Linked DNA regions of Anolis sagrei. The protein of the gene in region 1 purifies or fractionates together with the protein of each later gene. This does not show direct contact. Links are inferred from orthologs where the notes say so. Each region holds a gene or a part of one and is shown in the gene's direction. Other genes may lie near its edges.

The links.
Region 2: the proteins of ENG (region 1) and ACVRL1 purify together in Homo sapiens (affinity purification with western blotting; 3 studies listed by BioGRID and IntAct, with this or other methods). This does not show direct contact. The link is inferred for Anolis sagrei from reciprocal best matches to the Homo sapiens genes ENG and ACVRL1.

What each region holds. Positions count from the first base shown.
Region 1 is NC_090031.1:2,305,939-2,321,856, reverse strand, and holds the start of ENG (endoglin), read left to right. Parts: upstream 1-9,240; 5' UTR 9,241-9,542; coding exon 9,543-9,603; intron 9,604-15,918. UniProt on the Homo sapiens protein: Vascular endothelium glycoprotein that plays an important role in the regulation of angiogenesis. Required for normal structure and integrity of adult vasculature. Regulates the migration of vascular endothelial cells.
Region 2 is NC_090022.1:139,380,934-139,396,652, reverse strand, and holds the start of ACVRL1 (serine/threonine-protein kinase receptor R3), read left to right. Parts: upstream 1-6,936; 5' UTR 6,937-7,454; intron 7,455-15,719. UniProt on the Homo sapiens protein: Type I receptor for TGF-beta family ligands BMP9/GDF2 and BMP10 and important regulator of normal blood vessel development. On ligand binding, forms a receptor complex consisting of two type II and two type I transmembrane serine/threonine kinases.

The sequences.
Region 1 (15,918 bases):
TTTGTTGCCTGGAGGCACCCTCTGTTTGGGAAGTGTTCAATAAGGAACACAACTCAGAAACAGGAGAACTCCAGGCAACAGGCAACCAAGGGCCTCTGTCGGGAGGGCTTAGGTGGGGGCTTCCTCCTGGCAAGGGCTGGACTGGATGGCCCCTGGAGTCCCTTCCAAGGCTGCGGTTCTATGAGACACGGCAAGCCCTGTGAGGTCGGCCAAGCTGAGAGGCTGAGGCCGAGGGGATGTGCCTGCATGCCAGGCCAGCTTCTTTGCACTGCAGCTCAGCCTTTGCGCCAAGGAGGGAAGGAAAGGTGTTCGAAGGAAGCGCCATTTGCAATTGGGCAAACAGCCAAAGGACTCCCCGGGGAACTTGCGTGCACAGGGAACTTCCAGTGCGGAGCCAATGCAAAAACAAGACGTCCGGGACATTCTTGGCATGAGGCTCGCCGGCTCCACCAGAGATGGTGCTGGAGAATGGGGTCCACATCCCTACCTGGCCCTTGGCCCACCACACTCTCTCGGCCTCAGACGCAGGCCAAGGCAGCCCTCCTGGAACCATGTATCATGGAGTATATGTACCGTATATATTCGAGTATAAGCCGACCCGAGTGTAAGCTGAGTCACCTCATTTTAGCACAAAAAACTGGGAAAGCGTATTGACTCAAGTCGAAGCCGATGGTGGGAAGTGCAGCCGCTCCTGGTCAAGTTCAAAATCAAAATAGATCCCAATACAATTACATTTATTGAGGCATCAGGAGGTGGAAATCTTTCTGAATATATTTACTTAAAACTGGAATTTAAGATAAGTCTGTCCAACTCCGATTAAACCATTATTCTAACCTTCAATGTAAACGTGCTTAGATATACTTCCAATCATAATAAAAGGAGTAAAATAATAAATGGAGTAAAATAATAATAGAGGAATATAATGGAAAGGTAATAATAATAGAGTAACATAATGGAAATGTAATAATAATAATAGCAGAGTAAAGTAATAAATGTAATAATAACAATAATAGAGTAAAATAATAAATGTAATGATAACAGTAAAATAATGGAAATATAATAATAATAATAGCAGAGTAAAGTAATAAATGTAATAATAACAGTAAAATAATGGAAATGTAATAATAATAATAGCAGAGTAAAGTAATAAATGTAATAATAACAATAATAGAGTAAAATAAAAATGTAATAATAATAGTGAAAAAATAAATGTAATAATAACAGTAAATAATGTAGATGTAATAATAATGATAGAGTAAAATAATAAATGTAATAATAATAGAGTAAAAATAAATGTAATAATAACAGAGCAAATAATGTAAATGTAATAATACGAGAGTAAAATAATAAATGTAATAATAACAGAGCAAATAATGTAAATGTAATAATAACAATAACAGAGTAAAATAATAAATGTAATAATAACAGTAAAATAATGGAAATGTAATAATAATGATAGAGTAAAATAATAAATGTAATAATAACAATAATAGAATAAAATAATAAATGTAATAATAACAGAGTAAAATAATGAAAATGTAATAATAACAACAGTAAAATAATAAATGTAATAATAATAATAGAGTAAAAATAAATGTAATAATAACAGAGTAAATAATGTAAATGTAATAATAATAATAGAGTAAAATAATAAATGTAATAATCATAATAAAATAACAAATGTAATAATAATAAAAGAGTAAAATAATGGAAATGTAATAATTACCATAGTAATTGAATAAAATAATAAATGTAATAATAATAATAATAATAGAGTAAAATAATAAATGTAATAATAATAGAGTAAAAATAAATGTAATAATAACAGAGCAAATAATGTAAATGTAATAATACGAGAGTAAAATAATAAATGTAATAATAACAGAGCAAATAATGTAATAATAACAATAATAGAGTAAAATAATAAATGTAATAATAACAATAACAGAGTAAAATAATAAATGTAATAATAACAGTAATATAATGGAAATGTAATAATAATGATAGAGTAAAATAATAAATGTAATAATAACAGTAAAATAATGGAAATGTAATAATAATAATAGCAGAGTAAAGTAATAAATGTAATAATAACAGTAAAATAATGGAAATGTAATAACAATAATAGAGTAAAATAATAAATGTAATAATAACAATAACAGAGTAAAATAATAAATGTAATAATAACAGTAAAATAATGGAAATGTAATAATAATGATAGAGTAAAATAATAAATGTAATAATAATAATAATAGAATAAAATAATAAATGTAATAATAACAGAGTAAAATAATGGAAATGTAATAATAACAACAGTAAAATAATAAATGTAATAATAATAATAGAGTAAAATAATAAATGTAATAATCATCATAATAAAATAATAAATGTAATAATAATAAAAGAGTAAAATAATGGAAATGTAATAATTACCATAGTAATTGAATAAAATAATAAATGTAATAATAATAACAATAGAGTAAAATAATAAATGTAATAATAACAATAATAGAGTAAAATAAAAATGTAATAATAATAGTGAAAAAATAAATGTATTAACAGTAAATAATGTAGATGTAATAATAATGATAGAGTAAAATAATAAATGTAATAATAACAGAGCAAATAATGTAAATGTAATAATAACAATAATAGAGTAAAATAATAAATGTAATAATAACAATAACAGAGTAAAATAATAAATGTAATAATAACAGTAAAATAATGGAAATGTAATAATAATAGAGTAAAATAATAAATGTAATGATAACAGTAAAATAATGGAAATATAATAATAATAATAGCAGAGTAAAGTAATAAATGTAATAATAACAGTAAAATAATGGAAATGTAATAATAATAATAGAGTAAAATAATAAATGTAATAATCATCATAATAAAATAATAAATGTAATAATAATAAAAGAGTAAAATAATGGAAATGTAATAATTACCGTAGTAATTGAATAAAATAATAAATGTAATAATAATAATAATAGAGTAAAATAATAAATAACCTGGACTCGAGTATAAGTTGAGGGGGGCCTTTTCTCAGCCTAAAAAAGGGGGCTTATATTGGAGTATGTCCAGTATGGATACCTGGCTTGATCTCTCCCGAAGGAGGGGCCTCAAAGCGGCTTGACATAATGGTATCGCCTGTGGTGGACACAGGGATGGAGTGGCCGGCTCTGGAAGGCTACTCCACCCTCTGGCTGGGCCCCATCTTGAGGCAGGAGGCAGGCTCCTCGTGGGGAAGGAGGCCTTTCCCTGCTTCCATCCTTTCCCAGAGGACAACCAGAGGGTGCGAGAGCCTGGCTTCCCAGGCCAAGCTTCAGGCCTGTCTTTTCACCTCAGGCCTGGCCGCCATCTTGGGGCCTACCTGGGCTGGAGAGGCCTTGGCAGCGGGCCCGGCTTGCTCAGGCTCAGGCCTCACAAATGAGTGGAAGCCGTGGGGTCGCCCCCCTCTCTTGGCCTCAGGAGGGGCACGCTCTTGGAAGTCTACATCTCCCAAGGGCCTGGTTTGGGGTGCGAGGCCCTGGGCAAACTTCACTTCAGGCCTGTCTTTTCACCTCAGGCCTGGCCGCCATCTTGGGGCCTACCTGTGCTGGAGAGGCCTTGGCAGCGGGCCCGGCTTGCTCTGGCTCACGGCCTCACAAACGAGTGGAAGCCGTGGGGTGGCCCCCCTCTCTTGGCCTCAGGAGGGGCACGCTCTTGGAAGTCTACATCTCCCAAGGGCCTGGTTTGGGGTGCGAGGCCCTGGGCAAACTTCACTTCAGGCCTGTCTTTTCACCTGAGGCCTGGCCGCCATCTTGGGGCCTACCTGGGCTGGAGAGGCCTTGGCAGCGGGCCCGGCTTGCTCAGGCTCAGGCCTCACAAATGAGTGGAAGCCGTGGGGTCGCCCCCCTCTCTTGGCCTCAGGAGGGGCACGCTCTTGGAAGTCTACATCTCCCAAGGGCCTGGTTTGGGGTGCGAGGCCCTGGGCAAACTTCACTTCAGGCCTGTCTTTTCACCTCAGGCCTGGCCGCCATCTTGGGGCCTACCTGGGCTGGAGAGGCCTTGGCAGCGGGCCCGGCTTGCTCTGGCTCACGGCCTCACAAACGAGTGGAAGCCGTGGGGTCGCCCCCCTCTCTTGGCCTCTGGAGGGGCACGCTCTTGGAAGTCTACATCTCCCAAGGGCCTGGTTTGGGGTGCGAGGCCCTGGGCAAACTTCACTTCAGGCCTGTCTTTTCACCTGAGGCCTGGCCGCCATCTTGGGGCCTACCTGGGCTGGAGAGGCCTTGGCAGCGGGCCCGGCTTGCTCTGGCTCACGGCCTCACAAACGAGTGGAAGCCGTGGGGTCGCCCCCCTCTCTTGGCCTCAGGAGGGGCACGCTCTTGGAAGTCTACATCTCCCAAGGGCCTGGTTTGGGGTGCGAGGCCCTGGGCAAACTTCACTTCAGGCCTGTCTTTTCACCTCAGGCCTGGCCGCCATCTTGGGGCCTACCTGTGCTGGAGAGGCCTTGGCAGCGGGCCCGGCTTGCTCTGGCTCACGGCCTCACAAACGAGTGGAAGCCGTGGGGTGGCCCCCCTCTCTTGGCCTCAGGAGGGGCACGCTCTTGGAAGTCTACATCTCCCAAGGGCCTGGTTTGGGGTGCGAGGCCCTGGGCAAACTTCACTTCAGGCCTGTCTTTTCACCTGAGGCCTGGCCGCCATCTTGGGGCCTACCTGGGCTGGAGAGGCCTTGGCAGCGGGCCCGGCTTGCTCAGGCTCAGGCCTCACAAATGAGTGGAAGCCGTGGGGTCGCCCCCCTCTCTTGGCCTCAGGAGGGGCACGCTCTTGGAAGTCTACATCTCCCAAGGGCCTGGTTTGGGGTGCGAGGCCCTGGGCAAACTTCACTTCAGGCCTGTCTTTTCACCTCAGGCCTGGCCGCCATCTTGGGGCCTACCTGGGCTGGAGAGGCCTTGGCAGCGGGCCCGGCTTGCTCTGGCTCACGGCCTCACAAACGAGTGGAAGCCGTGGGGTCGCCCCCCTCTCTTGGCCTCTGGAGGGGCACGCTCTTGGAAGTCTACATCTCCCAAGGGCCTGGTTTGGGGTGCGAGGCCCTGGGCAAACTTCACTTCAGGCCTGTCTTTTCACCTGAGGCCTGGCCGCCATCTTGGGGCCTACCTGGGCTGGAGAGGCCTTGGCAGCGGGCCCGGCTTGCTCTGGCTCACGGCCTCACAAACGAGTGGAAGCCGTGGGGTCGCCCCCCTCTCTTGGCCTCAGGAGGGGCACGCTCTTGGAAGTCTACATCTCCCAAGGGCCTGGTTTGGGGTGCGAGGCCCTGGGCAAACTTCACTTCAGGCCTGTCTTTTCACCTCAGGCCTGGCCGCCATCTTGGGGCCTACCTGGGCTGGAGAGGCCTTGGCAGCGGGCCCGGCTTGCTCTGGCTCACGGCCTCACAAACGAGTGGAAGCCGTGGGGTGGCCCCCCTCTCTTGGCCTCAGGAGGGGCACGCTCTTGGAAGTCTACATCTCCCAAGGGCCTGGTTTGGGGTGCGAGGCCCTGGGCAAACTTCACTTCAGGCCTGTCTTTTCACCTGAGGCCTGGCCGCCATCTTGGGGCCTACCTGGGCTGGAGAGGCCTTGGCAGCGGGCCCGGCTTGCTCTGGCTCACGGCCTCACAAACGAGTGGAAGCCGTGGGGTCGCCCCCCTCTCTTGGCCTCAGGAGGGGCACGCTCTTGGAAGTCTACATCTCCCAAGGGCCTGGTTTGGGGTGCGAGGCCCTGGGCAAACTTCACTTCAGGCCTGTCTTTTCACCTCAGGCCTGGCCGCCATCTTGGGGCCTACCTGGGCTGGAGAGGCCTTGGCAGCGGGCCCGGCTTGCTCTGGCTCACGGCCTCACAAACGAGTGGAAGCCGTGGGGTCGCCCCCCTCTCTTGGCCTCAGGAGGGGCACGCTCTTGGAAGTCTACATCTCCCAAGGGCCTGGTTTGGGGTGCGAGGCCCTGGACAAACTTCACTTCAGGCCTGTCTTTTCACCTGAGGCCTGGCCGCCATCTTGGGGCCTACCTGGGCTGGAGAGGCCTTGGCAGCGGGCCCGGCTTGCTCTGGCTCACGGCCTCACAAACGAGTGGAAGCCGTGGGGTGGCCCCCCTCTCTTGGCCTCAGGAGGGGCACGCTCTTGGAAGTCTACATCTCCCAAGGGCCTGGTTTGGGGTGCGAGGCCCTGGGCAAACTTCACTTCAGGCCTGTCTTTTCACCTCAGGCCAGGCCGCCATCTTGGGGCCTACCTGGGCTGGAGAGGCCTTGGCAGCGGGCCCGGCTTGCTCTGGCTCACGGCCTCACAAACGAGTGGAAGCCGTGGGGTCGCCCCCCTCTCTTGGCCTCAGGAGGGGCACGCTCTTGGAAGTCTACATCTCCCAAGGGCCTGGTTTGGGGTGCGAGGCCCTGGGCAAACTTCACTTCAGGCCTGTCTTTTCACCTCAGGCCTGGCCGCCATCTTGGGGCCTACCTGGGCTGGAGAGGCCTTGGCAGCGGGCCCGGCTTGCTCTGGCTCACGGCCTCACAAACGAGTGGAAGCCGTGGGGTGGCCCCCCTCTCTTGGCCTCAGGAGGGGCACGCTCTTGGAAGTCTACATCTCCCAAGGGCCTGGTTTGGGGTGCGAGGCCCTGGGCAAACTTCACTTCAGGCCTGTCTTTTCACCTCAGGCCTGGCCGCCATCTTGGGGCCTACCTGGGCTGGAGAGGCCTTGGCAGCGGGCCCGGCTTGCTCTGGCTCACGGCCTCACAAACGAGTGGAAGCCGTGGGGTGGCCCCCCTCTCTTGGCCTCAGGAGGGGCACGCTCTTGGAAGTCTACATCTCCCAAGGGCCTGGTTTGGGGTGCGAGGCCCTGGGCAAACTTCACTTCAGGCCTGTCTTTTCACCTGAGGCCTGGCCGCCATCTTGGGGCCTACCTGGGCTGGAGAGGCCTTGGCAGCGGGCCCGGCTTGCTCTGGCTCACGGCCTCACAAACGAGTGGAAGCCGTGGGGTCGCCCCCCTCTCTTGGCCTCAGGAGGGGCACGCTCTTGGAAGTCTACATCTCCCAAGGGCCTGGTTTGGGGTGCGAGGCCCTGGGCAAACTTCACTTCAGGCCTGTCTTTTCACCTCAGGCCTGGCCGCCATCTTGGGGCCTACCTGGGCTGGAGAGGCCTTGGCAGCGGGCCCGGCTTGCTCTGGCTCACGGCCTCACAAACGAGTGGAAGCCGTGGGGTGGCCCCCCTCTCTTGGCCTCAGGAGGGGCACGCTCTTGGAAGTCTACATCTCCCAAGGGCCTGGTTTGGGGTGCGAGGCCCTGGGCAAACTTCACTTCAGGCCTGTCTTTTCACCTCAGGCCAGGCCGCCATCTTGGGGCCTACCTGGGCTGGAGAGGCCTTGGCAGCGGGCCCGGCTTGCTCTGGCTCACGGCCTAGGCCCTCGAATAGCACACTCTCTCAGCCATAAGGTAAGAAGAGACCCACATTCCGCTTCTGTCCATGATGGGGAATGTCTTCCCGGGCGGTGGTTTGGTCCTAGGCTAGGCCTCACATCCATTGGGGGGGGGGGAGGGGGGAGGAATGGTCCACCCAAAACAACAACTGGGACAGTTTGTGCTTGCTTCAGAAGTTTATACTTTAATTTCTCCTAAACTGCCAAGTCATTTTTGAATAATAATAATTTATTTATAATAAGGGTCTGGAGAACAAGCCCTATGAGGAGCGGCTTAAGGAGCTGGGCATGTTTAGCCTGAAGAAGAGAAGGCGGAGAGGAGATATGATGATAGCCATGCATAGGAAAGGAGATGTTGACAAGCTGGAATGTGTCAAGAGAAAGAGGGCAACTCAAAGGATCAAGGGTCTGGAGAACAAGCCCTATGAGGAGCGGCTTAAGGAGCTGGGCATGTTTAGCCTGAAGAAGAGAAGGCTGAGAGGAGACATGATGAGGGCCATGGATAAATATGTGAGAGGAAGCCACAGGGAGGAGGAGGGAGCAAGCTTGTTTACTGCTTCCTTGGAGACTAGGACTAACACAATGAAGTTCAACAGGGGGAAATGCAAGATACTCCACTTTCGCAGGAAAAACGAAATGCAAGAGACAGAATGGGGGACGATGAGGCCTGGCTCGAGAGGAGGACATGTGGAAAAGATCTTGGGGTCCTCATGGGGAGGAAGGGGAACATGAGCCAGGAATGTGACGTGGCGGCAAAAAAGGCCAATGGGATGTTGGCCTGCATCAAGAGGAGCCTAGTGTCTAGATCTAGGGAAAGTAATGCTCCACATGCTCTATTCCGTTTTGGTTAGACCACTTTACCTGGAATATTGTGCCCAATTCTGGGCACCACAACTGAAGAGAGATATTGACCCTAAGCTGGAATGTGTCCGGAGGAGGGCAACTCAAAGGATCAAGGGTCTGGAGAACAAGCCCTATGAGGAGCGGCTTAAGGAGCTGGGCATGTTTAGCCTGAAGAAGAGAAGGCTGAGAGGAGACATGATGAGGGCCATGGATAAATATGTGAGAGGAAGCCACAGGGAGGAGGAGGGAGCAAGCTTGTTTTCTGCTTCCCTGGAGACTAGGACGTGGAACACTAGTCTCAGACTACAAGAGAGGAGATTCCATGTGAACATGATTGTGAGAGCCGTGGAACTCTCTGCCCCGGAGTGTGGTGGAGGCTCCTTCTTTAGAGGCTTTTCAACAGAGGTTGGATGGCCATCTGTCAGGGGTGCTTTGAAAGCAATTTTTCTGTTTCTTGGCAGAATGGGGTTGGACTGGATGATGGCCCAGGAGGTCTCTTCCAACTCTTGGATTCTATGTCCCACTTCCTCTTTTTCCCCAAAAAGACTCAAGAGCATCTCAAGGTCATTCATAAGCTATGGCTGGATTGACACCTGAGTTTTGCAAGCATGGCCTGGATCAGCCCAGAAGGCGCATCCACACAGCACGAAATGAAGAATGAATCGGCATTAAGAACCAGGGAGCAAAAGAGCCGTTGTGGAGTGGTGTCCTCCTCCAACTGTTGACCCTTCCCTTTGCTATCCAACATGCATATTTGTCTGGAGTGGCACTTGTGAGCGAATGCCCCTGTTCCGACTTCCGACAGAAGCGACTGCCTTGTTCGTAACTCAAGGGCGGCCTGTGCTGCGCTTCCTGGCAGTGCGGATGGGGACGGAGTTGTTTGCATCCTTCGAAGAAGGTTTCCTCTCTTTATAGAAAAAACTCCCCAGCATTTCCTCTTGCTGTTTTGGCAGGCAGGCCTTCCTCTGAAGTTGGGAGTCGATTTCCTGCCTCCGATGCATCATCCGGACGGAGTCCAGCCCATCTGGGCAGAGGCCGCTCAAGAGCAGACGCAGGCAGCCACGGCAGAAGTGTGAAGCTTCTTTGCGCCTGGCCTTGCCCCTCGTTGCCCGCTCTCCGGGTCTCCCCAAAACAGACCAAGGCTGGAGTGGAGAAGGGCCGCAGTGAGCCTCCAGTCCACCCCGCGCCCAGCCCCGAAAGGCCACTGTCCGGCGGAGAGCGTTGCCCTCGGACTTCTGCCCCTGGACACGGGCTAAAGCAAGCCACGCAGACGGCATGGAGACCGGTCCAGTGGTCTTCCTGCTGGCCACCAGCATGGCCATCCTCACCTGGGCAAGTAAGTGTCACCTTGGGCAGACCAAGCTTAGCGGGAATGGAAGCCGGAGTGACCCATCTCTTGTGGAAGGCTTTCGTGGCCAGAATCACTGGGTTGCTGAGAGGTTTCCAGATTGTGTGGCCACTATGTTCCAGATGCATTCTCTCCTGGCGTTTTCACCTGCATCTGTGGCTCATGGCATCCTCAGAGGGTCTGTTAGACGTGAAGCGAGTGGGGTGTATATGACTTGTGGGATAATATCCAGGGTGGGAGAAAGACCCTTGTCTGCATGAAGCAAGGGTGAATGTTGCAATTAGCAAGCTTGGTTAGCATTGAGTAGCCATGAAGTTTTTCAAAGTCAATCAGGGAGGGTGTCTGTATAGAGCAGCCGTGAAGTTTTTCAAAGTCAATCAGGGAGAGTATCTGTATAGAGCAGCCATGAAGTTTTTCAAAGTCAATCAGGGAGGGTGTCTGTATAGAGAAGCCATTAAGTTTTTCAAAGTCAATCAGGGAGAGTATCTGTATAGAGCAGCCGTGAAGTTTTTCAAAGTCAACCAGGGAGGGTATCTATATAGAGCAGCCATGAAGTTTTTCAAAGTCAATCAGGGAGGGTGTCTGTATAGAGCAGTCATAAGCTCTCAAGTCTTTTGGACTTTAACTCCCACAATTCCTAACAAACCTGGAGGGTCCAAGTTTGCCCATGCCTGGTATAGAGGTAGCCTGGCTGCTGTTGCTTGGAGGCATCCTCAGAAGTTTGTATGTGTGTGCTTGTATATGTGTGTGTGTATTATATATGTATATGTGTGTGTGTGTGTGTGTATAAGAACTTGTTGCGTCGTGAGCTTCCGCTGTCAGCCCCAGCTCCTGCCAACCTAGCAGTTAGAAAACATGTAAATGTGAGTAGATCAATAGGTATACTCTGGCGGGTATTTATTTATTTATTTATTTCGGGTATTTCTACCCTTTTCCTTCTCAGGACGGCTTACATTTGGCAGCAATTCGATGCCACTACATATAACAAAGCAATATAATAACAATTAAAACAACAAATAAAACATTCATTATAAACAATAAAAACAGTATGCAGTCATGGAGCACCAACCTCCAGAGTCGGACACGACTGGACTTAATGCCAGGGCGAAACCTTTACATTTGCCTTTGAGGACCCTTCTACGCTGCCATATAAAACCCAAATTCTCTGATTTGAACTGGATTATATGGCAGTTCAGACACATATAATCCAGTCCAAATCAGATAATCTGCATTCATATACTGGATTATATGGTCAGTGTAGATTGCACTCGAGGCCATATAAAATCCATATAAAATGCCATATAAAATCCAGATGATCTACTTTGATCTATTTATCATAGCTGCTTAACCTATCTGTTGTATGTGTGAATTTGGATGTATATATATATATGTGTGTGTGTGTGTGTGTGTGTGTGTGTGTATGGAGGCTTCTACATTGCCATATAAATTCCAGATGATCTGCTTTGGCCTGGATCCTATGGCAGCATAGAAGGGGCCGGAGCCTCCTTTGTCATTCCGGAGGAGAAAAGCCTATCTTGACTTTGCTTGGAAGCTTCTTCCCAGAAAGAGGCCAAATTCTCTTGTGAATCTGGAGCCGGGAGGAATTCCAAATATTTCCCTCCCACGAAGAGGAAATGCTGGACTACCTTAATGGGGGGTTGTTAAGGCCCCATCCACGTAGACCAGATAACTTTGCATTATTAATTTTGTGATAACAATATCAATAATAATAATAATAATAATTGTGTGCCTACCCATGGTTTCCGTTCTTTTATCGTAGGCTTTTTGTTGTCCACAACAAGTGGCACCAAGCTGCCTTAATTCTACAGTGCAGATGGGGGCTCAAGCCCCATCTACATTGCCATATAATGCAGATTCAACTACATTGAACTGCATTGCGTGGCAGTGTAGACTCGGGGTGGATCTACATTGCCTGACATCCCAAGATCTGATCTCGAATCAGGTAGACCACATAATCCAGTTCAAATCAGATAATCTGGAATCAGATCCTAGATGATATAGCAGCGTAGTTCCAGCCTGAACTGCATTATGGAATAACAACAACAACAACAAACAACACTATACTTGTATTCCACTCTATCTCCCTAAGGGAGATTTATTGGGTAAATATAATAATAATAACAATAACAATAATATAATAGGTTGCTGTGAGTTTTCTGGGCTGTCTGGCCACGTTCCAGAAGCATTATCTCCTGATGTTTCGCCTACATCTATGCTAGCCATCCTCAGAGTTTGGGAGGTCTGTTGGAAACTAGGAAAATTCGGTTTATATATCCGTGGAAAGTCCAGGGTGGAAGAAAGAACTCTTGTCTGCTTGAGGCACATGTGAATGTTGCAATTTGCCACCTTTATTACCATTTAATGGCCTTGTACTTTCAAGGCCTGGCTTGTTGCTGTCTGGGGAGATCCTTTGTTGGGCCAGCTAACACCTCCCAAGTGATTCCAGCCCTGAAAGCCTTTGACAACACAGTAATGTAATACATTTATTACCTGCCTCTCCTTGCAGCTCAGGGATGAGATGCATTGGGTAATAATAATAATAATGTGTTACTGGGTGACACCTGTTTGGCCCCACAACCGTTGTTGTGTGGAGTCCCACAGGGTTCAATTCTGTCCCCGATGTTATTTAACATCTACATGAAGCTGCTGGGGGAGATAATTCGGAGTTTCGGAATGAGATGTTATCTCTACGCAGATGATGTCCAGATCTGTCACTCCTTCTCACCTGTCACCAAGGAGGCTGCCCAGACCTTGAATGGGTGTCTAGCTGCTGTGTCGGACTGGATGAGAGCTAACAAATTGAAATTGAATCCAGACAAGACAGAGGTCCTACTGGTCAGTCGTAAGACCGAACAGGGCATAGGGTTACAGCCTGTGGTGGACGGGGTTCCACTCCCCCTGAAGACGCAGGTTCGCAGCTTGGGAGTGATCCTGAACTCATCGCCGAGCCTGGAACCCCAGGTCTCGGCGGTGGCCGGGAGAGCTTTTGCACAATTAAAACTTGTGCGCCAGCTGCGCCCGTTCCTTGGGAAGTCGGATCTGGCCACGGTGGTCCACGCTCTTGTTACATCCCAGTTGGATTACTGCAACGCACTCTACGTGGGGTTGCCTTTGAAGACTGCTCGGAAACTCCAACTAGTCTAGCGAGAGGCAGCCAGATTGCTCATCGGAGAGTCATACAGGGAGCATACCACCCCCCTGTTGTGTCAGCTCCACTGGCTGCCGATCCAATTCTGAGCACAATTCAAAGTGCTGGTTTTGACCTACAAAACCCTATACGGTTCCAGCCCAGTGTTTCTGTCTGAACGAATCTCCCTCTACGTCCCACCTCGGAGTTTAAGATCTTCTGGGGAGGCCCTGCTCTCAACCCCGCCTCTATCCCAATAATAATATATTTATTACCTACCTCTCCTTGCATCTCGAGGCTGGGATTTATTAGGTAAATATAATAATAATAATAATAATAATAATAATAATAATAATAATAATAATAATAGTATTTTTACAATGAGTGTAGGTTCATATAATGCAGTTTAACTGCATTGAAATGGATTACATGATTATCATATAATCTAGCACGGAATAAGTGAAACATGTGCAAAAGTTACTCTTCTCAACCTTTTTTTACTTAAGAGTTTACTGTTAAAAAATCCTTTCCAAAGTTACTGTTCCAAGGTATGGAGGAAAGGATAGGTCAGGTTTACTACTCTCCTGTTTTCCATCCACATTACATAAAGCAACATACCATGCCATTAGCAACTTCAATAAGAGCCCCGAAAAAGGCATCTGCTGGTTTTCTCTTTTCCTTCCTGGCCCTTTTTGCTTGTTGCTTGTTTTGTTTTATTTGTGCAATGGGTTGTTTGTACTCTTCGGGCTGAGAAAGGTGGTATATAAATATGGTAAATAAATAAATATGGTTATATATACATATGTGTGTGTGTGTAATGTTCATTTGTGGGATTAACATAACTCAAAAACCACTGGACGAATTGACACCAAATTTGGACACGAGACACCTATCAGGCCAACGAGTGACCATCTCTCATAAAAACACTGGAAAACACAGCGGAATGGACTTAAAAAGCAAATAAACCCCAAAAATTACATTACAACGCATGCACAAAACCATATATATATATATTCCCAAACACACATATATACATATATACACAAATATATATACACACACATATAAACACACAAAACACATATACACAGACTGGGCCACAGCAACGTGTGGCAGGGGACGGCTAGTCTATATAAATAAAAAGGTAATGTTCGTTTGTGGGATGAACATAACTCAAAAACCACTGGACGAATTGACACCAAATTTGGACACAAGACAACAATCAGGCCAACGAGTGACCATCACTCATAAAAGCATTGGGAAGCACAGCGGAAGGGACTTAAAAAGCAAATAAACCCCCAAAAATACATTACAACGCATGCACAAAGCCATATATATATACCCAAACACACATATATACATATATACACAAATATATATATACACAGACATATAAACACACAAAACACATATACACAGACTGGGCCACAGCAACGTGTGGCAGGGGACAGCCTGTGTGTGTATGTTCTGGGTTGTTGTAGTTTTTTTCGGGCTATATGGCCATGTTCTAGAGGCATTCTTTCCTGACGTTTCGCCTGCATCTATGGCAAGCATCCTCATAGATGCAGGCGAAACGTCAGGAGAGAATGCCTCTAGAACAGTGCTTCTCAACCTGGGATCCCCAGATGTTTTTGGCCTTCAATTCCCAGAAATCACAGCCAGTTTACCAGCTGTTAGGATTTCTGGGAGTTGAAGGCCAAAAACATCTGGGGACCCAAGGTTGCGAAGCATTGCTCTAGAACATGGCCATATTGCCCGAAAAAACCTACAACAACCCAGTGATTCCGGCCATGAAAGCCTTCGACAATATATGTATATGTTCGTTTGTGGAATTAACATAACTCAAAAACCACTGAATGAATGGACACCAAATTTGGCCCCAGACACCTTTCAGGCCGACAAGTGACCATCACTCATAAAAACACTGAAAAACACAGCAAAGGGGACTTAAAAAGCCAAAAAAACCCCAAAAATTACATTACAACACATGCGCAATAACACATATATATATACACAAACACACATATACACAAATATATACACACAAAACACATATACACAGACTGGGCCACAGCAATGCATGGCAGGGGGCGGCTAGTGTGTGTGTGTGTATGTAGATATATATTCGTGCATAACCAAAATTAACAGGGAATATAGCAAACACATATGCAACAATGAAGGGCTGATGGGATTTTTTGTCACTCACTTAGTATTAGATTTTAAAAGCCAAAGATCCCTCTAAGGCAGTAGTTCCCAAACTGTAGGCCACAACACACTAGTGGGCCATGGGGCCTAAAATAAGGTCCACGGCTCTAGATTATTAAAAATGTTTTTCCTGAGCAGGCATGGGCAAACTTCATCCCTCCAGGTATTTTGGACTACAACTCCCACCATTCCTAACAGCCTACCGGCTGTTAGGAATGGTGGGAGTTGTAGCCCAAAACACCTGGTGGGATGAAGTTTGCCATGGGGTCTTCTTCCTTTTCTGGCGGTTTCCAAGCATATGGTCATCTGTCAGGAGGGCTTTGATTGTGTATTCCTGCTTGGGAGAAAGAAAGAAGGGTTGGACTGCATGGCCTTTGGGGTCTCTTCTCAATTTCTGTGACGTTTACAGAGCGATAGGCCTTTACAAGTTTATAATCTCCCCGAGACGCAGGCGACTGGTGCCTTTCGCCTTGGCAATGGTCTCCGAAGTGGTTTTGTCGCCATCGCCGCCAGTCTGATTTAATCTCGAGAAAGAAAGAGACACAGAGGAGAGTCTCGGAAACAACATAAACAGATAACGCTTGTCTGCCGGCCGGTCCTGAGGCTTCGCTTGGCGGCCTTTTCTTCCCCGTGACGCAGGCTGCGCGGCCCAGATAAGGCCCGGAGGAAACGCCGGACAATGGGTGGGCCGAGGACACGGCGTCACCCGAGTGGCCTGAGCGCTGACCTCGAGCGAATGAAGGGCCCGACACATCCCGCCTTGACCCGTGTCCCCGTCCTCAATGTGTCCTCCTCGGTGTCCCATAAGCACACTCTTTGTGGAAGACCCCTCTGGCCATTTCCCGCTCCAGGCAGATTCAGAACTTTTGAGAAAATATGCCATAACCTTTTGGATTATCATAGTCCTTTGAAAAGCATAACCTTTTGGGAAACGACTATATGATGCGAAT
Region 2 (15,719 bases), on another chromosome or scaffold:
GAAGGGTATTTTCTTCCTTCTCCCTGCCGTGTCATTGAACACTCAAGGAAACAACCACTGGCCATTTTCTCACAATGAATTAGCATGTGGGAAAACATAGAGACCTTTAATTTTGGTCTTAGTAGAGCTATGTTTTGTGGTTCGGCCTCTGGAAATATCAGAATGCTTGTAAGTTTACTTTCTCCATAACATAACCATCACAAAGTCTGCTTTCCTGGATGGATATAATCCCCCACTGGGGTTAAACCACTGAGCTGCTGAGCTTGTTGACCAAAAGGTCACAGGTTCAAATCAGAGGAGGGGCGTGAACTTCCGCTGTCAGCCCCAGTTTCTGCCAACCTAGCAATTTGAAAACACAAATGTGAGTAGATCAATAGGTACTGCTTCGGTGGGAAGGTAACAGCGCTCCATGAAGTCATGCCGGCCACATGACCTTGGAGGTGTCTATGGACAATGCCAGCTCTTTGGCTTAGAAATTAAGATGAGCACCAACCCCCAGAATCGGACATGACTGGACTTAATGTCAGGGGACAACCTTTACCTTTACCTTAACGCTGATATCATCCAACAATTCAGAGGAAAATGAGGATACTGTATGGCCAAGCAACATTTGAGATGACAAGGCTTATTAATGAGGGAGAAAACATCATCTAGCAGAGGCAAGGTTTCCCATGCACACCCTTTTCTCTGTTCCACACTGAGTTTAATGAGTGCAGACATTTGCACTTTGAGTTCAGCTTGCAGCAACTGAAGTAAACTAAAAGTGAGGACAAAGGGATACAGGGCGGGGGAGAGAGAGAGAGAGAGAGAGAGAAACTGGGACATTTTACCATCATCCATGCATGTAGCCGGGGGGGGGGGGGGCTTGAGGGGCTTCATCCCCCCCCCCCCCGAAATTCTCATGGTGGTTCGCGAAAAGGCCTTACTGGTGCATTATTTAAACTGTTATGTTTATTCATATCATGATCTGATCACCATACTCAATATAACCCCCCCAAAACTCAGCCCCCCCCGAAACCCCCCTGAAAAAAATTCACACACACCCCCAAACGAAATCCTGGCTACGGGCCTGCCATCATCAATAAATAGTACAAAACATGGTATTTATGTAATGTCAGGCAGTGTCTAAATTCAATACAAATGACATTCATGAGATATATTGTGTTGATACTAGGCTTGTGCATTTTGGCTGAACCTCAATCTTTTTCTGCTGGCCGGATTCCAGTAGACCCGTATGCATTTTTGCAAGCCTCCTAAAAATGGGCAGGTACCACAGCTGAAAAATGCGGCTAGATCTGGCCCATTGGTGGCAATGGGGAACTTACAAGGCTCTGCTTTTCATTCCTGGGACCATTTCCTTTTTTCCCCTTCAAGGGAGCCTGGATTTCAGCAACAGGGTGATCCTGGCACTCCAACCTTCGCCTCTGTATTTGACACTGAATGAGCAAAGGAAAACATGAGTGCCTAGAAGGTTTAGTTGCAAGCTCACATAGTTTGTGAAGCTGTTCAACATTCTTAGAAATAATAGAGTATGTATGAGAAGGCTTTAGTCATAGCTTCCAGTTTCCGGCTTTGTAGAGCTGGAGCTGACGTCTGAAAGCAGCTTATACTTTGATAATTGAATATAAAAATACCTGTTCAGAATCAGACCTATTTATAGTAGGCGTAATAATCAATGTTTTCTCTTCCCAGCACCCTGCACATCATTAGTGTTGTCATTGTAACAATTTACATCTCACCTTGCATAATGGATTAAAAACTATACAAAAATGTCAATAAAAGTATATATATACATTTAATTTAGAAGACAATTAAGCAATGTATTAAACATTAACATTCATTAAAAGACTATATGTCAACCTTAACACCAGCATTGCACAATGTTAAAAGCTCAACAAGTCAGTTTCTAAAAACATAATCACATAAAAATGTTTCAACTTCCTTACAGAAGTGGAGCAAGAATGGAGCTCTCCTGGCCTTCCTAGGAAAGGGGTTGCAAAGTCTGAGAGCAGCCACTAAGAAAACTGTTTCTCTTGTCCCCGCTAAATGAACCTGAGAAGGTAGTATAATAGAAAGAAGGGCCTCTCCTAAAGATTTTAGAGCTCCAATGGGCTCATATGGGGATATATAGTCCTTCAAACAGCCTGAATCCAGGTTGCAGAGGCACTGAATGTCTACCATCGATCATACCTTAAGATTTGCTGTGCTGTCGCACGCTGGGCCTGTACATAAGACTGTAGACAGGGCATAAATTCTGTGTGCCCAACGGGACGCCGGGGCTGCCTCAGATTAAAGGCCTTTGGATTTCCTTAAACAGAGTCTTTAGGTTGCTTAAAGGTTCAACAAAGTTCTTTATTATTGAAAACAAACAGGTACTTTAAGGCTTTCTTAATAGTCTATTGGCTCTCTCGATCTTGTCCACAGGGAACAGGCACTATCTTCATAAACTGTATTTCAACTAATGGGGAAATCCTTAACCTCTAATCTAGGCAGTCTGTCTTCGCCTCTGTTGGTGTGGAGCCCCTACACCCGGTACCAACTGCTTCTGGCTTCCACAAGTGACCCTTACCAAGCAGAGCTTTGTAGACTTCCAGGGGGAAAGGAGTTCAGGTTTCTGTGATGGCTGGCTGAAGTCCTTCAGCAAAGGAGCTGTAGGGCTGTATAACCCTGGCCAAGCTGTGAGCTGTATATCTCCCCGGCCAAGCCGTAGAAGACGAAGCTTTCTACAGGAGCTCTTGGTATTGTGTCCTGCATGAAAGGCTTCTCTGTGTAGACTGAACTCAAAATGGCTCCTATTCCCTCTAAAACCCAAAAAGGGGGCGGAACCAGGGAACCTAACTATAATTGACAGGTGGCTTGCCCTATGATTGCAGCCAAAAGAAGCCACCTATCTGCAGAGTTCCTGAAACTTGGGACTATAACAAACATTAAATGCGAAGCAAACAAAATTGGAGCTCTTGGTGCAGTTGTACCTGCACATTTGCTACTTTCATTGCTACTTTCATTGCCTATATGTCTATAGGACATATTGTATAAGCTAGTTATTTGGGTTCCAGTCCTATATGTCCTATAGTATTTAAGTGCTTCAAGATAACATCCAAATCTTGCATTGTATAAGCTAGTTATTTGGGTTCCAGTCCTATATGTCCTAAAGACATATAGCACTGGAATCCAAATAACTAGCTTATACAATGCAAGATTTGGATGTTACCTTGAAGCACTTAAATACTATTTTTATAGCACAGGTTTGGTGTGCAATGGTCTGCTTCAACAGATGTAACTCATCTACAAAAATCATAACAGAGGCCCATCTACACCAACACTAAAATTCTGCTTGAAGTCAGCTCAAGTTTAGTGTGCTCAGAAAACAATCTCCAGAGCAGTGTTATCTTTTTTAAAAAAACTCACCAGAAATCCTGGATCAAGCTAGAAAATCTGCTGAATTCCTTCTGTGTATAAACAATGCAAAAGAAGAAGCCAGACGGCAAATGCAGGGATTCTCATGTAAACAGGAGTAAGAAAGCATTCACAATAAAAAAGCAGCTGTAAAGCCCAGCTGGAAAATAAATCTCTCTCCCACCCACCCCGCTAAGGAAAGCCCAGCGTTCCCATAGGAATGCCTGATTTTACTGCCCTGCCTTGCTGAGTTGTGAGGCAAGTGCTTCTGAGAAGTTGTTTGTCTCTTAGGGGAGGTAAAAAACATATTCCTGGATTTCAATTGAGCCAATCAATCTGGAGCAGAATGTGATGAAGAAATCCTGTGGATTTGTGTGGACTCACTTGCATATACCAGCCAGTTCCTGTGGTGCCTATGTCGGCACTCTGGAGTGAACTGGATTTCTATCATTCTCATTCTGCTCCTGATTAATTGCCTATGTAGAAGTACCCTATGTTAGTTCTCAAAATAGTTTTTGCAAACTGTTATTAGGGTATCTGTCTTGTTCAGAATGGATATGATAAAAATTAGTTTGAGGAAGGAACACATTTTGAGACACTGCATATTGGCAGAGGTTTCTAGTGAAGGCCAATGGGTCCCATGTCAATGGGGCAGTGAATTTGCTTCACATTTTAATCCAGATTTTGAAGGACCTATCCAAAGTAAACCCTAGTTCATACCCTTAGGCATCTTGGATTGCTGTTTTAAAGTTCAGACTCAGCCCCAGGACAGATTTACCACCACCACTGATATGGAAGCCACCAGTTCTCCCTGGATTTTGATATTAATGATGCTGAAGAAAGAGGACTTGCATGTAATAAGCAAAAATATGCCCCCTCTCTATGCTGAAAAAAGAAGAACACATCAAATGTAACCTAGGTTTTTCTTTTCTTTTTCTCCCCTTGAATGAAGAGAAAGTTGCAAGGGATTATATTATATCTTGCATTTCTATCACATGGTTGTCAAAAGCATAGGAACCCCACTAGTGGGACTCTCACACTAAAAGGGGCATTATGAAGTGTCAGTATATGGAAAACGCATAGGGGAACAGGAAGGTCCAGCCAGGAGGTGTGAATTAGGAATTCCTACCTACTGAATCACAGCTTTAGGGTAGTGCTTAACAGGTTACAGAATATTGTTGTGAATGCATTACTTATAGGGGTGACATGGGCATAATGTGTTTGTTTTTTTTTGTGAGGTACCATTGCAACCTTACTCCTATTTTTATCTCATTAGAGTTTTTTTTAACATTTTATCCTGTACATGTGGCCTGCCCACTGTTACTGCAATTGTGTTTATTGTAATGTTATTTTGTTACTGTATGCATATGTGTTTTTTTAATGTAATTTTGATGATTTTGCTTGTTGTTTTTGGTTTTATTTTGCTGTAACATGTTGTCTGGGCTTGGCCCCATGTAAGCTGCTCCGAATCCCCATTGGGGAGATGGTGGCGGGGTATAAACAAAGTTGATTATTATTATTATTATTACTATTACTATTATTATTATTATTATATCAGAGATATTTTGAGTTTGAGATTTTGAAATGCCTGTATATGCATATATGTACATAATGAGATGGGACAAAAATCTAAAGATGAAACTAATTTATGTTTCAGAGGCACCTTATACATATAGCCTGGAGGTAACTTCATATAATATTTTGAATAATTTTGTGGATGACACCAAGTTTGGGCACACTGAAGCATCACAAAGCCAAAGCATCCTTATCTCAGACAGGCACATGGACAATTTTAGATTTCAGAATTCAAGATAAGGTATGCTCAACTTGTACTTGTTTGGAGGAATTATATTGAAGAATTAGGACATTTTTCTATTTTTAAGTGTGTTGTTATGAAATGATGATGTTGGTGGTGGTGATGCAATATGTTAATGACAGGCTGCTAATGCACAATTCTTCCAGTAATGAGTAATATATTGACTTTTAAAAATATGACTAATGTGTTACTTTTTAAAAGCTAGATAGAATTTATTCTATTATCTTTTTACATTATGCCTTGCCTCTCTTTCATTGGTGTGGGCAGGTGCAAAATGACCTTAATTGTATCATGCTGTAGGGAGTCCTTGAGATAGGTTTTAACCCACATTCAGTTTTAGACCCATAGTCTCCAGAAATTTCTACGTTTCTCCCAATCTCTAGGAGAAGATAGATTTCAGGGTCAGCAGCACTGGTAGAAGATAATGTTTATATTTCTGTGTAACGTGGTGTTACAGCTTAGGAACTCATCTCTAATGGGTCCTACCTGACTCCAGAGCTCACTGGCTTGATGTTGCTTATTTGTTCAGTCGTTTCCAACTCTTTGTGACCTCATGGACCAGCCCATGCTAGAACTTCCTGTCGGACATGGCCACCCCCAGCTCCTTCAAAGTCAAGCCAGTCACTCCAAGGATGCCATCCGTCCATCTTGCCCTTGGTCGCCCCCTCTTCCTTTTTCCTTTCATTATCCCCAGCATCGTTGTCTTCTCTAAGCTTTCCTATCTTCTCATTACTTCACCTTTGCCTCTACTTTTTTGTATGTGCGTGGTGTGGTGATTTTAGCATTGGATTATAACTCTGGAAAACAGAATCCAATTCCTGCCCAGCCATGAAACCTTCTGTGTGACCTTGGGCAAATCATACACTCTCAGCCCTGGAAAACCCAGTGACGTATGGCCTTAGGGTCACTATAAATTAGAAACAGCTTGCTGACACACAACAACACAACTGTACTTATGCAATGTCAGTACACTGAAACATTCCCGGTCTACTTGGCATTTCCTCAAGAACTTGTTTTGTCTTTACTTATTTGCCTTCATATTTTAAAATATTTTGTGCACATCTCCAGCTTTGAATATCTGTAATCCCACTGGTACCTCCCACCATGTTTTTCAGCAGCTCTGTTTTGGTCCCAGTCCTGTTGGTACTCACCATCTGTGTTCAACATTGGAGAAGATGCTGCTGCTGCTGACAGCTTAAGTGTATTCTGGTCTTCAACAGAACGGCCAGTCTCACTTAAGCACAGGAACCAAACAAGGGCTGAGCTCAAAATGTTGCAAGACAGCACAAAATAACTGTTACTTTGCAAGCTTCACAAACTTTACTGGGTCAAGAAGCCCACTGATAGCAGCTTACCTAAAGGTAAACCTTAGAAAAGTTACTTTGAGGACCACCCAAAAATATTTTCTCAAAGGGAAGCAGAAAACCTAGCAGGGTTTTGACAGGTCACTGTTCTTCTAGTTATCAGACAGGATAACGTTTTACTGTTTTGGACAGATAAAGTAGTGATTAGTTTGGTTAACTAACACATAGCTTTGGATTAGTCCATTCAGATTTGAAAATGAAGGCGGCAGCAGGGAAGGATGGGAGGAAGGAAACCCAGAAAGGTGAGGCAATAGGGAGACCATAGAGAACAATTGCACAGGGCCCTGCTGTGCTTGGGAGGAAGAGTGTGTTGTGTGTGCGCATATAGATCTACGCTCCGCAATAGGAAATGCTTTATTAGCTGGGAGTGGTGGAGAAAAGCCAGGCAGGAAGAGGCAGTAATAAGAAACATTTTTAACTTCTCCCACATCCAGAGCTTGCCAAACCGCTGCTTTCAGCAAGAGGGAAAGAGCAGGGGGGCTGGAAAGAGGATCCTGTCTCCCCCCACAACCCAGCCTTACACACTCCCAGCTGCCTTCAACTCTGTGGCTTCCTTGAAACGGACTTCACTGGAGCTCAGCTTCAGCCCCAATCTGGGGGCACTGTTCTTACTGAAGTGAAAATCCAGGAGGACTGGAACCGTTGGAAAGGAAACCCATGAATCCATCTCAGGCCATGCATCTAAGACCCATGAAGAGATGCCCAGTGTGACTTCAGTCAACAACTTTCCCAGAAAATAAAAACCCATCTCGGACTCTGGTACCAAAGAAAATGCTTTCATCTGAGGAATTCTCAGCCAAGGCCTGCTGAAAGGAGATAGACGGCAGGATACGGTTTAAAGCCCAAGTTTGCTCCGTTCTGTCTACAAAGACTCCCGGGTAAGTTAGAATTAATGTGTGTCTCTCTTGATTCGTTCCATATTTATTTGAAGACATTCAAGAGAACATCTCTCGGGCAAAAGCGGGGGATAAATGTGACATTTTTAATATCAAAATTTTAGGCCTCAGGCTTTTTATAGCATGGAGAAACTATTTAAATCCTGTATGTCCATTACTCCTGGGCAAAATAATTACAATAGCAATGATGAAAGAGAAAGGAAGTACATTAGAGTCTTGATTATCCAACCTTTGCTCATCCAAAGTTCTACATTATCCAACACAGCCTGCCTCCCTCCCGGATCCACAGACATTGCGATGTTTTGCTGCTAAATTCGTAAATACAGTAATTACTACGTAACATTACCATATATAGAACTGCTTTTTCTGTCGAACTGTTGTAAAACATGATGTTTTGGTGTTTAATTTGTAAAATCATAACATAATTTGGTGTGTAATAGGCTTTTCTTTAATCCCTCCTTATTATCTAACGTTTTCACTTAACCAAAATTCTGCCGGCCCATTTATGTTGAATAAGCAAGATTCTATTGTAGCAAAGAATAATGCAGTTATTAATTTTGTTTTTATGCTATGCATTTTCAGCACTGCAAGAACTATTCCATGATATCATCAGGGATTTGCATTACACAATACACAATGTTACATATAATGTCTTCTTTCACAAATCTGTTGTGGACATGGCCCACTAGGGCCCCTTCCACATGGCTGACAAAAATCCCACATTATCTGCTTTGAACTGGAATATTATTTATTTACAGTATTTATATACCGCTTTTCTCACCCCCGGGGGGAATCAAAGCGGTTTACACAAAAATAACGCAAAATTCAATGCCTTATATATATAAACCAAAACTCAATCAACAACATATAACTAGCATAAAATCAATATATGGCAGTATGGACTCAGAAAACCCAGTTCAAAGAATATATTGTGGGATTTTATGATTGTAAGCCGTCCTGAGTCCCCCTTCGATGGTTGAGAAAAATAATGCAGCCTTATTTCTCTGGGTTATATGGCTGTGTGGAAGGGCCCTAAGTTAGCATGTGGCCCTGCAAGGCTCTTTCTGTGACCCTTGGCTTCAGACAGCAGTTTTTCTCACAAAATTAAAAGGGGTGTTGATGTGTGTCTTCTAACGCCTTCATAGATTTTGGTAACATTGCATTTTAAAATATACATTTTTAAAATACTAGTTTTTCAAAATAAGTGATAGACTTCTCACTACACCTGGTTTGGGTTTTATTCTTTGCATGTATGGCCCACAGACACACTCAAGAGCAGAAAAATGACCTTCAGTCTGCCTAAGTTTCCCTCCTCTGACCTAAAGAAAAGTCCTGCCCCTCAATATCCAGCAGGTCTGTGCAAGAGCTAGCAGGCTTCTGCTAGATTTTAAGGGAGCACTTATCAAGAGATAAAGGCCAGAATCTTCTTGGTGACATACACTGCTATAACATTATTATTATTATTATTATTATTATTATTATTATTATTATTATTATTATTTCTAAATCGCCCTCTCTCCCCAGAGGGACTCAGGGAGGTTTACATATATATATATAAAGGCAAACATTAAATGCCATAATTAAATCACACAATATCAAAAGATGAAAAATAAACATTATCAGACTTATTGCAACAAGAGAATTCAGATTAAAACAAGAGATACAAATACTGAGGGAAACATAATTATATCAATAAAACATAATTGCACTAAGCATATACCCTAAACAGTTAAAACGACCAAACTGAAAAATGTGGCAAGCATCAGTTGTACTTTAAAGTAGACTGTAGCAGCCATAAAGTGCTGGTTGTGATAGTCCTTCTCCTCTCTGTAGAGAGGAAGGTGGAGGCCATTTTTATTTCTTTAGGGAGGGAGTTCCAGGGATGGGGAGCGATCACAGAAAAGGCCCCCTCTCTTGTTTCCACCAACAGCGCTTATGACGGGATGGGACCGAGAGCAGGGCCTCCTCCACTGACCGAAGTGTATGAAGGGTCTATATTTGGGAGATGCAGTTAGACAAATAGCCTGGAGCCAAACTGTTTAGGGCATTATAGGTAACAACCAGCTCTTTGTATTTATCTCAGAAGCAGACCAGCAGCCAATGGAGATGCCATAACATGGGACTGATTCTCTCCCTGTACAGAGCCCCAGTTAGTAACCTGGATGCTGATCTCTGGACTAGTTGAAGCTTCTGAACTATCTTCAAAGACAGCCCCACATAGAGAGCATTGCAGTAGTCCAGGCAGTATATAACTAAGGCATGGACTACCATGATCAACCTGGATTTATGCCAATGTATATTATTTTGGGGAGTCAATGTAGTATAGTGGTTTGAGCATTGGACTATGACTCTGGAGATCAGGCTTTGAGTCCAGACTTGACAACTGGAAATCCATTGGATGGCCTTGGGCAAGTCACACACTCTCAACTTCAGAGGAAGACAATGGCAAACCTGAGATAAAATCAGGTTTGGAGTCTTTTCATGCAAGCCCAAGTAAGATCATTCAGAATAATAGATGGGAGGAGCAGATCCTTTTCAGTCGTGGTCCCCTGATTGCAGAGGTCTCGAATGAAATGTGTGTGGTTTTTCCCCTTGAAATCTTTGAAAAGGCTTTGAGATTCCATCTGTTTCTGTTGCCTTGTAACTACTTAAAATATTAATGTATTTTTATATCTTATGTTATATTTTATGGTTTAAACAACCCAGTACAGGCTATTCCTTAAATTGAAGATCTACACAACATAACCTGTAAAAAAAATAGTATAACATGGCAAAATAAATAATATTTCAAGAGTGGAAAAGCAAGACAAATGGCATGTGAAATTTTAAAAATGGGTGTACTACTCACCTAAAAATGCAAAATTGGTGTTATAAGGCAGGAGAAATGCAGGATTGCACCAGAAATCAACCTCAATCATCCAGCCTTTAGGAGAAAGGGAGATAAATTTCACTGCTTAATAATTTTATTTAAAATGTTTTTTGCACTGGTGTTGGCCATTGATTTTAAAACTATTATAATATATTGAGATCAAAGTAATTGGTTGTTTAAAATTAATAAAATGATATTTTGTTTGTGTGCAGGTAGGTGCCTTCAAAGTATCTATTGACTTATGGCAACCCCATGCATTTCATAGGCTTTTCTTAAGCAAGGCATATGCAGAAGTGCATAGTTTGTCAGGTCCTACCAGTGAAATATAGTCTACAGCGCCTGGTTGTCTCCCCACCAACTACTCACCAGGTTTGATTCTGCTTGGTTTCCAAAATCAAACAGGGTCTAGAGCCTTAGGATATTAAGTAAACAGCTGGGCATAAATAAGAAAGGGGTGAGCGGCTGCAGACCAACCTAGGGATCTGGGGAAAAGACACACATGAAAACATTAACTCTTCCTCAGGTCTCACTTACACACCTTCTAAATTGCCAGATAATCCAGGAAATCACAGCAGAAAATCCACATTATCTGATTTGAACTGGGTTATCTTAGTCTACACTGCCATATCATCTAGTTCAAAGCAGATAATATGGCATGTGTACAGCTGTGTATACATTCCCCATTAAGCCCTTTCTACATAGCTGTATAAAATCCACATTGAATTGGATTATATGGCAGTGTGGACTCAGCTTCACTAGCACAGGGCTTCATTTGTCCTAAACCTGGCACTGGTGGCCTCCCACACAAGTACTAACCAGGGCTGACCCTACTTAGCCCCCATTGTCACAAAAATGATGTGTCACAGGTAGCATCATTGCTTGCAACAAATTACATTTCCTGAAATACTGTTGCTTCTAGAGCAGGCATGGGCAAACTTTAGCCCTCCAGGTGTTTTGGACCTCAGCCCCTACAATTCCTAACAGCCAGTAAGCTTGCTGGTATTTCTGTAAGTTGAAGTCCAAAACACCTGGAGAGTTGAAGTTTGCCCATGCTTGTTCTAGAGTGCTATGCCAGGCTCTAGTGATTTCATTGTCTTTTTTACATGATCCAGATTGCTTAACTGTTCTACAATGCAACCTTTCCTCAACTAGGGAGCGTAAAATGTGAAGTGAGGTATTCACTCATTTTTGTGAGATGTTGACAAAGGGCCCTTCCTCACAGTCATATAACCCAAAATATCAAGACAGATAATCCACAATATCTGATTTGAACTGGTTTATATGAGTCCACACTGCCACATAATCCAGTTCAGTGTGGATTTTATACAGCTGTGTGGAAGGGACCAAAGCCTGTTGAAATCACAAAGGCGTGAGATCTCGAAGCCCTCTTCAGCTGCGCACTCAGCACCCAATTAGGCATGTTGCTGCTACCAGATTTAAATATCACACTGGTCACAGAATGAAAGATTGCCACTGTGGGAAATTCTCTAGTGACATAACTTGAAACAAGACTGAAAACTGTTCTTGAAGTTACATACATTGGAAAATTAAAATAAAAAGGAACCAAGTTATGAGTATTATTTTGGCATTAAAAAGCAGAACCAGCCTCTCCCTTTGAGGTTTGGAGACTTTTAGCCACAGAATTATACTTGGCACTTACAGAGGACTTGTTTAAGGTCTCAGGGGTGTTTCTGAAAGGCAATCTTTGCAATGAGTTAGACCTATAACGGAGCCAATTTAAGAATGAGTTGGGGAAGGCTGCTAGATGAGAGAGTAACTTGCCTTTGTTCCTGATGAGATCTGAGCCAAGGACTCGCCTCATGCTCTTTAAGTGCTAGGGAGGATAAGAGCATCAAAGGAATCAGTGGAATGTAGAACACGGCTGGGGAAAAGGTGGCACTTCCCCTGTTGTTGGACTGCAAAATTTCCATCATCCTTGGCCATATCATTCTGCCAATGAACACTGGAGTTCAACAGCATTTGGAAAGCCACAGGCTGTCCACCCCGATGCAGAATGAGTGGCAAGGAGGAGTAGACATTGAAACCAAGATAAGCCAAAACAAAATCACAAGGTAGAAGGAAGACTCTAGCTCAATGGCAAAGAACATTCTTTGCATCCAGAAGGTCCCAGATTAGGTCCCTGGCACCTCTTGTTAGCACACAATGCAAATAGAGAGAACTCTTGTTCCTGTTAGGACCCTAGATCCTGACTGGGCCAGAGTGAAGAGAGAGGGGGCCAGGGGACCGTTCCACCTTGTCTCCTGTGCTATGCTAATAATATAATGTAATGTAATATATTGTATATACATATATTTATAATATTATAATATAATATACTATAATACATTACAATAATAATAATAATAATAATAATAATAATAATAATAATGTAATACAATATAATAGGGAGCCCCCAGTGGCGCAGTGGGTTAAAGCGCTGAGCTGCTGAGCTTGTTGACCAAAAGGTCGTAGGTTCGAATCCAGGGAGCAGCGTGATCTTCCTCTGTCAGCCCCAGCTTCTGCCAACCTAACAGTTTGAAAACATGCATATTTGAGTAGATCAATAGGTACTGCTTCAGTGGGAAGGTAACATCGCTCCATGCAGTCATGCCGGCCACATGACCTGGAGGTGTCTACAGACAACGCCAGATCTTCGGCTTAGAAATGGAGTTGAGCACCACACCCCAGAATCGGACACGACTGGACGTCATGTCAGAGGAAAACCTTTACCTTTACCTACAATATAATAGTAATATGATAATATAATTATATATTTTATATTACATGTAATATTGCAATATGATGGTACAGTACAATATAGTAATATAATACTGATATTGTACAATGCTAATAATATAATATATCATAATTATATATATATTGTAAACCGCTCTGAATCCCCTTCGGGGTGAAAAGGGTGGCATAAATAAATAAAAGAATACTACCCATCTAAATGAACAACATTGGGTTCAGTAGACAACTGTTCTGTGGGCTAATTGATAAACCAGCCACCTTAATGAACAGATGTAAACATTCATACAAGTAAACTGGCCTGTACGAAATGTGGTTTGAGCAGCTCTGTACAAGATTATGTCTACAGTGAAACCACTGTGTAATAGCTTTACCCATATGGCCAGCCCACAATCCTAAACCCTCATTTCCCACGCTGTTTTTTCTGGCAGCATTGTGTATGTAGGACACCCTGAAAATTGCAGTGTCAACCAAAAGCTGCAAGAAGATTCTACTGAGCAGTGGAATCCTTCACTCAAAGGCAAGTTCTAGCTTCATGCGTTGGTTCCCCTTCCTGCTCAGCTCAGTGTCACTTAAGGGTAAGAGAGAGAGGGAGGCCCCATCGACACTTCCATATACAGTCAGTCCCCAAGTTACAAATATCCAACTTACAACTGTCTCATAGTTAACAACAGGGGCGGGACAACAGGAAGTGACATAAATCTACCCCTCGGAAGGGAAATTCACTCTTGATATTTATTATTTATTTATTTAGAGTATTAGTATCCTGTCCTTCTCAACCCCTGAAGAGGAACTCAGGACAGCTTACAATTGGCACTCATTAGATGGTGACAAAGAAACAGAACACAACGATTAACATGAACAGGTCAACAGCAATAAAAATACATTTAAAAAGCAATAAAATGCATTAAACATATTGGCCCTTAAACTATTAAAACAACCAAGTCTGAGTCTGCAAATCCAAATCATAGTCCAGACTTCCAGTCCAAGGTCTCTTAATTGACAATTCTCATGGAGAAAAAGTGTCTCTACTGAAGCTTTATCACCAATCCTTGTTTCACAACAAGCCAATTTTTTCAAAATCCAGTGATCACTGGGACCAAAAGGGAGGTGAGACCTTTCTGAGTAAGGGCACAAACAGCAAAAGAAACAGCACAGGGGTGTTAACCCTTCCCTATGATATCCAAACTGTGTGTACATATACATATATACACACACATTTAAACTGGAGTTTCACTTCAAAATGTACCTGTTCAGACTTACATACAAATTCAACTTAAGAACAAATCTACAGAACCTTTCTTGGGTTGATGTAAGTTTTTCGTGCTGTATGGCCATGTTCCAGAAGCATTCTCTCCTGACGTTTCACCTACATCTTTGGCAGGCATCCTCATAGGTAGTGAGCACCTCACAACCTCTGAGGATGCCTGCCATAGATGCAGGTGAAAGGTCAGGAGAGAATGCTTCTGGAACATGGCCATACAACCCTGAAAACCTACAACAACCCAGTGATTCCGGCCATGAAAGCCTTCGACAACACATAGATCCTATCTTGTTTGTAACTTGGGGGCTGCCTGTAATGTAGTTTGAAACAATGTAGATTCATATAATGCAGTTTAACTACTCTGAACTGCATTATATAAGTATACTGATCATTATATGAGTCTATAACTGCATTATATGGATATTGTGGACTTGTTTAATGTGATTTAACTGCATTATATGAGTCTACATCATCCAGTTAGCAACTGATTTGCTACTGCATTGTTTGGCAGTGTGGAGGAAACCAGAGAGAGAGCAAGAGTGAGAGAGGGATTTGGAAAAAAGCAGCAATCTGATCACAGGACTATTTGGGATTTTGTATCAAATACTTAGCTAGCATCTTTGGTCAATAACAGATCTATCAATGGCAGTTAGCTATAACAACCAATACTGGGATGTTTTTCCAAGCTGACATGCTTCAGATGTAATACTGGGAAGTTGGAAGCCATCTTTATTATAGCCCCCCATAGGGATCTAACTGGTCAACCCAAGACATTTTTCAGTCTAAGGCAAAAGTTCAAATGCTGTCCTTCCTGGGTTGTTGTAGGTTTTTCGGGCTAAATGGCCATGTTCTAGAAGCATTCTCTCCTGACGTTTCGCCTGCATCTATGGCAAGCATCCTCAGAAGTTGTGAGGTCCTTCCTGTCATGTTCCATAAACAGAAGATGATCAGGCCGGCGAATCTGAATTCAGTGTTGGATAGAACAGCATCTTCCACTGCACCTGTTTTCTAAAGTTTTATTGCCACAGCCACCATCAGCTGTTTGAGGTAGCCCCCTCAATTTCTGACTTGATAGAGCCAGTCCTAACAGTTGGAGACAGAATGCTAGACCAGATGGACTTGGCTCAAGCCTATCTGATATCTCTTTTTTCTCATTTTGGTCCTAACTACTCTTAGGCAAATCCAATAAGGATGTCATCTCAGTATCACAAGACCCCTATGGGTGAGCATTCAGCAACTGCCAGACGTCAGAGTGGCTGCTCAAAGCTTCCCTTCCTGCCCTTTCATATAAACAAGAACATCCTACTGGTCAGGAAATGGGTGCAATTGTCGGACCCCAAAGAATGCATAAAGAAGGAAGAGA